Linked DNA regions of Drosophila melanogaster. The protein of the gene in region 1 purifies or fractionates together with the protein of each later gene. This does not show direct contact. Each region holds a gene or a part of one and is shown on either strand. Other genes may lie near its edges. The genes, in order: CG14710 and CG43342.

Evidence for each region.
Region 2: the proteins of CG14710 (region 1) and CG43342 purify together in Drosophila melanogaster (affinity purification with mass spectrometry, with the first as the bait; one large-scale study listed by BioGRID). This does not show direct contact.

Annotation. Positions count from the first base shown.
Region 1 is NT_033777.3:11,617,895-11,622,255, forward strand, and holds CG14710 (uncharacterized protein), read left to right. Parts: upstream 1-2,195; 5' UTR 2,196-2,315; coding exon 2,316-2,450; intron 2,451-2,508; coding exon 2,509-3,251; intron 3,252-3,313; coding exon 3,314-3,559; intron 3,560-3,571; exon of another isoform or gene 3,572-3,620; coding exon 3,621-3,744; 3' UTR 3,745-3,830; downstream 3,831-4,361. Other genes in the region: Zaf1 (ZAD and architectural function 1), read right to left, coding at 3,831-4,050, 4,121-4,255, 4,313-4,361.
Region 2 is NT_033777.3:22,379,319-22,382,694, reverse strand, and holds CG43342 (uncharacterized protein), read right to left. Parts: upstream 1,356-3,376; 5' UTR 1,267-1,355; coding exon 1,171-1,266; intron 1,111-1,170; coding exon 664-1,110; 3' UTR 548-663; downstream 1-547. Other genes in the region: Gpdh3 (Glycerol-3-phosphate dehydrogenase 3), read right to left, coding at 1-132, 191-365, 427-470; CG34149 (uncharacterized protein), read right to left, coding at 1,557-2,439, 2,494-2,528; CG18596 (uncharacterized protein), read right to left, coding at 2,882-3,029, 3,091-3,261, 3,330-3,376.

The DNA.
Region 1 (4,361 bases):
GTTTTATGGCGAGTCAAACAACAGCAGCGGCAGCCGGCGAACATGCAATGTGTCCCGAGTTCAATGCACTTGCCACTCAGCCTCAAACTCCGCTGCAGTGGCTCTTGGCCAGATACACAGGCATAGCATACTAGAAGATCGCGTGACTATAGTTAAATATAGTTAAGCACCGAATGTGGCACGTGACGATATTGGGGCAGAAAGTATCCCCCATATTGTGTTATATTGTGGACACGGCTTTTTTACCGGGAAAACAACAATTTCGGTGTCCGGTGGGCAGGAGTGTGCCCTTAATCACTGGCCACCACTGTGGCAGGGAGTGACGAAGAAACGAGAACGCCGCCATCGACTCCAATTGCAATTACTCATCATCTATCGCGCCAATTATTCGTAATATAATGATAAGTGCGAACCAAAACAGCTGCCAACAGATTTCCTAGTGACTCAAGGAGGTCATTTGGAGCAGGGCTCGCATACTTGGCTAATTTACTCATGGAATCCGCAGATGTGGCAAAGGTCAAGTGCGTAGGAACTAGTTTTCACAAATAGCCAAGGAGTTGATTTTTAAATTTACCGTTTAAAATTAGATTGTTGCTTTATAGCTGGGAAATTATCTATAAATTTCCATGGCATTTTTATGTTACTGGAAATGAAAGAATTCCCTCCTACGGATAGAGGTATATGATCTCAATGCACAATTTACACAATTATTAGGATATGTTCTGATTATAGAGAACTAATCGTAGTAATTTAACACTATAAGATTGCTTATAATGGCTTTAATTTCTGTATATATACCAGGAAGATAAATAGAGAACGACAATTAAACTAAAAACTTCAATTTCTGAGTAATTAGTTTAGAAATTGGAAGGCATTCAATAAAATTAACGATATATAGAGTATCGTAAGGCCCATATTTTATTGATTTACACTTTTGAGTGGGCCCTGTACAGTTTGCCACAGTTTTTCGCCTACTTCAGCTAGTTTGATGGCCGGCACAATGGTGGAGTGATGACCAATTTGAAAACTGGCACAGAGAATGGAAAACACAAAAACAAGCGCCACCTCGGTTGCAGTCATAAAGGCATTAGAAGAGGGGAGCGGTGCGGGGTCAGGGTTCGAGATGTCCATCGGCTGATGTGCTAGATATAGTATGTGATATATGTACGTATGTACATATAATAATGTGGGCGGGGGAGGCAAACTGGCACACTTGCTGACATTGCAGTGTGCACTTAACTAGAACCACCACTGTGCAGTACTCACACACACGCACACAGTCAGAAATGCCCGTGCATGTACTAACTACTCAAAATGGTCATTTTCCCGGTTGCAGCTGTGAGAAGTGAGGTCCTATATTGACAGCGGGGGTTGCCTACGGAGCACACATATCAAATATCGGTTGTTAAGGGCGTTTTCTAACGAGTCCATAACAGACGGGAAATGGAGTTCCGAAATCGAATAGGAATCGTCATCACAATCCTTGCCGATCCAAAACGAACAGTTCACCTAACTGTTAATCCAATAAAAGATCAATACACGCATTGGGCGAATAGAGCTGCGAAAGCGCAAAAGGAGAAGGAATTCGGAACGGAAGTAGGAAGAGAATCCGCGGTGGAAGCACATAATAAAACCAACGGAACGTTAAAAAAAAAAGGAAGAAGCAAAGAACGGCACTCGGTGTTGTTTTTGCAAATCTGCAAATCCCAACCAATACCATCGTGTACACCCACACGCACACATGCACACGCGTAGATTATTTTTCAAATATGCCGGCAACTGCTCTTGGTTTTGATTTGATGTACTTACTTGCTGCTGGCCTGATTATCGGTGCAATCAAAGTTAGAGATCATTTTGCCGCTGTAGCCGCTTATTGGACGATCGGTAACGATTAAATGGAAAACTGGCACACACGTAACAAAGTGAAACACACAAAATGCAAGTGGAAATGCACAGAAAATTGCAGATGCCGCGGCACGTTCGTTCAGTTCGAAAGGCGAATTAAGTGTGGCTGCCGCCGAGCCGCTAAATCACGCCGTCGGCTCGAAAATGAAAGGCACTAAATAATACCACAGATGCAGTGGCGGCGCTATAAATAGTTTGAAGGGGCTTCAGTATTTTTTTTTTAGCTTTTTCGTAGCTGATAGCTAGTTTAGGCTTAATGGTAACTTTAAACTGAAATGTATTTAAAACACTTGTAGGTATTTTTTTCATGGCAAATGCGGTCACACAGCGCAGGTCTAAAATTGTTTAAAACTCATTTAATTGAAATTAGCCTTAATTTCCAGCCCCCTTGCAAAAAAACGCTAGCCAGGATGGCCAGCTTGCCAGTGATTCTGCAATGCAGGATCTGCTTGGGCGATTTCGAAGAGAGCCAAATGATCTGCCTGTTTGGGGATAAAGGCGAAAGTGACCTCAGGAAAAAGTTGGAGCTGTGCTGTAGGATTAGGGTAAATGGAGCTGACCAGATGGGTTATATGTATCATTTCATTACTCCAACTCCCCCAGGTTCGCCAATCCCCGCAGCTGCCCGAGAAGGCCTGCAACAGCTGTTGCGAATTCGTCCAAATGTGGTTCAACTTTCGCCAGATGTGCCTGAACTCGCAGGTCTACTGGGAAACAAGTTCCTCGGAGAGACCAGAGGCTCTTGCCCAGGCAAGCGATGCCGAGTATATGTTGTATCTGTACGAGAACCTACATCTGAAACTAGGCACAGAGAATCAGGAGAAGGAAGAGATCACCGCAATAGAGGAGGGGGATGAACAGCAGGAGGATCAGTCCCAGGAAGTTCTCGATTTTAACGGATTTATCATAAACGAATCGATTGAGGAGGACGAAGAGCCTAATACGGAAAGTCCTGAGCAGATTCTGATTTCCCACATGGACTCCTACGTTGATGATCAACAAATGGAAGAACTCATTGATGATAAGGGTGAGCTTGTCGAGGAATTATCCAATGCAAACACGTTTTATGAGGTTGAGTACGGGGACGAGGAACTTCTCATGTCAAGCGCTCCTTCGCCACATCCCAGCTTCAAAATGGACAAACAAAAGCCGGGAAGGCCTCGCAAACCGGACGCCGAACTGAAATTCAAACGCAAGGATATCAACGCCAAGGAAAGGGGGAACCAGCCAAAGTGCAAGGAAGAGGAGAAGTTCATGTGCATCCTGTGCGGAAACGTCTTTTACAAGAAATCTGTTTTCACGGCCCACATGATGACCCATTCAGAGTACAAGCCCCACCAATGCGAGTAAGTGATATTAAGGTTTAGGAAGGAACAAATTTATCCTACAAAAATGTTATTGCTTTCAGAATATGCAATAAATCTTTTCGACAAATGGGCGAATTGCGAGCACACATCCGTCGTCATACGGGCGACCGTCCATACAAGTGTATGTACTGCGACCGCCACTTCTACGATCGCAGCGAACGGGTCCGCCATGAACGGGTCCACACCAACACGCGTCCTTATGCCTGCCAGGAGTGCGGGAAAACTTTTACGCACACAGCCATCCTCAAAAATCACATCCTTTCGCACTCCGCCCAAAAGAATTACAAGTAAGGGAGAGTAATCCTTTCTAGTGATTTGCACTTTTTATTAATAATTTGAACTTTTCAGCTGTGGTATCTGTTGCAAGTCATTCACTCTGCTGCACCAGCTGAAAGCTCACCTGCAAACGCTAACCCACCGCAACAAAATGGAGCAAACCATTCCCAGCTCTCCGGAAATGTTAGAGAGCTAATATAGTAAATTAATTGAGGAACTAGGGTTATCTATTATAAGTAGTATAAAGCCACTTTTCCAGAATAGACCAGCTATTTTTATTAACTATTCTACCACGTCGCTGTACTCCTTAGCTATCAGACGGTGCGCAAGAGACTTCTCGTGCGCTGTAAGTTGGTGCTTAAGCCGAAATTCTTTTTTACACATAAGACACTTGTGAGACTTTTCAGACGAATGCAGGTAGTAGTGAGCGTTACGAGAGGAGGACAGAGAGAATGTTTTTCCACATATGTTGCAAGCATAGGGTCTTTCATTCGTGTGCAAACTGAAATGAAGAAATTCAACATTGGAACTTAAATGCTGTACACAATATATATAGTTTTTGTCCATTCTACCGTTCGTGCTTGCGATGAGTGCTGTTGTCGGCAAAACGGCGCGAACAGTAGCAACATTGGTAAGGTTTCTCGCCCGTGTGCGTCCGCATGTGTGTTTTCAGGTTGCAGGCGGCTCTGAATGTCTTTTGGCAAACCCTGAATCATACATTTTATATATGAAATATTATGTTAAGATATATCACGGATACTTACTCGCACTGGTGGTCCTTTTCCTTGCGGTGCACCTGCGAGTGTGCATTTA
Region 2 (3,376 bases), about 11 Mb from region 1:
GGAAACAGCAAAGGCCGACTCCTTAACATTACCAGACAGAATGTTGCAGTAGGATTGCACGAACTCCAGCGGGGTGGAAAATACCAAGATATCTGCGTTCTGGGCAGCTTCCAAAAGATCATTTACAGCGATCTAATACAAAAATATTTTGTATAATGCAGATACCAAAACACTGCAAGAATTTCCTTACCAGGTTATTGGGCAGCTTGATCCCAGGCAGATACTTGACATTCTCGTGACGAGTGTTTATGATCTCCGATAGGGCAGTGTCCCGAATCATTTCATCGTAGACATATAAATGCACCCGGCTGTCGAAGTCTCCCTCCAAGACATTGTTGCTCACGACGGCGGCAATGGCCGAGCCCCTAGAAAAGCCATTTGAAAGCAGTTAAATGTGTTTTAGACTTGGTAATTGAAAGAACTTACCAGCCCTCAGCCCCAATGATGCATATTTTCAACTTTCCGGCCATTGATCCAACTTTAAATTAACGAACAACAATAATTTAGGGCCGAAACGCGACCAAATGACCGCCTAAGTGTTAACTGGATGTAGAATGCTTTAAATTTTTATTATGAATTTTGATAGTCCAGAGTTAGGTGGCGTCCAAATGTGAAGTGTATAGGATGAGTTAAGGTAGTTGAAAGGCAAACACCCAACCTACTTTACGAGCAGGGACGAAACTCGTAAACAACCCCGGACGCATTATCCATTCTGTTCTGGGCCCGCATTTTGTGCTCCTGCTGGGCCTCCATTTCTGATATGGCGCGGATTTCGAACTCGGTGATTATCTGGGAGATGCGGCTCTTGGCTTCCGCCGCCAGTTTGGGTGGCAAGCCTTTGACACTGATGCAGGCGCTCTCAAAGAAAAGATCGTAGCTGTTTCTCTGAGGAACAGGGGAATCAGCCGCCGGTGGAGCTGCATTTGGTGAAGTGACTTCATCTCGCTGGGAGCTCAACCTTTTGAAGTACGCCGACAGCACTTTACGGTCTTGTTCGATGCTCTCGACAAGTTCCTGGCGGTTCTGCGGCGTTGGCCTTGAGTAGGGTAGCTGTCTTTTCTGTAGGGCTACGTTGTTCCGTTTGATGAGTAGCAAACTTTTCCTCTCGGTCTGCAAATGCATAATTTCGTTTAAATATTTGTAAATTTAAGGGCAACTTAGTAATTATACCTCTATATGATCTTCTTTAATGTATGAAGCTTTCTGCTCTTCGTTGTCGCCATTTTCAGAGGTCGTTTCATCATACACATTTGAAGTGTTCCACATTCTTATGTTATGAATATTTTGTCACTTAAGCCTTTAAATTGCATTAGCTGCTTCAAATTTAATAAACATTGGAAGAAAACACAGCCGCGCTTTGGAGATGGCAGTAGCAGTAGCCTCTAGCCTATCGATAAACAGTCCGATACCATTTCTCGCACCTATTTTGAATAGTTTGATTCGTATATCTAACAAATAAAGTATATTTGCATTGATCTTATAAAAATCGATAACATTTATTTTTAAATTTAAAATTAATGTATGCCTCTAAATTCATGCTGAAGGACAAGGGATTGTCATGATGGGCGCAGTGCGAGCGATTCATTAGCTTGAGGGTTTGGATTCAGTGCGTCCGTTTGGCTGGTTTCACTGAGGCCGCGAAGCTCGAGCTCACAGATCAGCTGCGATACTCGCATCTTGGCTTCCGCTACCAACTTTGGCGAGAGGGCTTTCACGCTGGAACTGACGCTTTCGAAAAACAGATCCACATGATTCTTCTCCTTGGGCGGCGGTGTGTGACTTAGGGTCCTCTGGCTTCCCATCAGCTCGCGGAAGGATTCCATGAGTTCGTTTTTGTCCTGGTGGATCTGCATTAGTAACTTTATGCCCTCCTGCTTAGAGGCAGAAGAGGAGCTGTCACTGCAATTGGCATGGCTTGACGGGGGTTCGGTCATCTTTGTTGTGACCTCTGTCTCTGATAAGAACTCCTGTTTGGGTACTGTCACCTTCTCACTGGCTGCAGAACAGAGGCTTTGATCAGCAATGGCCATCACGGGCATAGGCTCTGGAGTGGAAGGCGGCTCCAACTCGTGGTTCTCAGCCAAGGGCTCCATCACTACCAATTTACGCTGGTGATAGTACTTGCTACGCTGCTGGCGAATCCGGAACTCCTGGACCGCCGCGCCTTCGCCCTTTGTGAGCAGAGCCTCCAGATTGCGCTTGTGCTTGGTGGTTCGCTCGTGCCGCACCAGGTGGCATCGATTGCAGTCCATGGTGCACTGGCAAGCGCGGCAGAATGGCTTGTTAGGATCCTCGGCCGCCCGTCGGAGCCATGGATCGAAAATCTTGAGCCACTTTTCGCAGAACTTCTGGTTATATTTAGGTTTCAGAGTTCTGTGCTCCTTGTCCAGCTTTAAAGATTTCTTAGCAGTCCGCGCCTTTAGCATTTTGTCTGTCTTCCTATAAGCGAAGCATTCGTATAGAATTTGAGAGTTTCCGGCCTCAAGGACTTACCATTCAGAATCGGAGGTGTTTTCCGAGAAGCTCATTTTCGTCTTTTCGAAGTTGTTTACAATGGGTTTGTTGTGATGTTGTGATTATAGGATCAGCTGTTTCAGGCAAGCGTCATCGGTAAATACTGGTTATCGATAACAAGGCGCGAAACTTTAAGAGAATGAATTATATTTACTTCGATTAATTCACCGAAGGCAAACAAACACATTTAAAAAAATAGAAATAATACTAATAGCTAGTACAATTAAGTTTATATAGGTAATTTATTTTGGGTGTATTTTTTTTAAGATATATACAACACAAAACATTTATATAGTAACATTTGTACAATATTTTTAGGTATTTACTTTATTTGTTAAAGGCATTTGTTGGTGGTCAAATTATGAATTTAATTTAAGTGCTGCTTACAATATTCCCAAATAAATAGTGATCCAGCCACATGTACATTTAGAGAGCGCACTAAGCCATACTGGGGAATTTCGACGGCGTAGTCCAAGAATCCAATAAGGTTCGCTGGTATTCCATGTTTTTCATGCCTGAGGAGGGATGCAGAACAATAAGTTTTCAAAAAATACGCCCAAGATGTTGATTACGAACCCCAAAAGAAGAATGCTTTTCTTGGGAAACTTAAAGTCAACAAAGTTTGTGCTGTGTGCAGTTTGCTCGGCGCCAACGATTTTATAACCCTCCATTTGCTTTTCCAGCAGAAATCCAGCAAGCGATTCTGGATTCACTTCAAGTATGTTTAAAGTTTTCTCAGCAGTCATGCTAAAATAATATAATTATAATTATATAAAGCAATATAATAGGGCTACCGCGATGTTTGACGTGCATACCTCAAGTTTGTAAAATCGCTTTTCTCCGCCTGTGATTTTAAACCCAA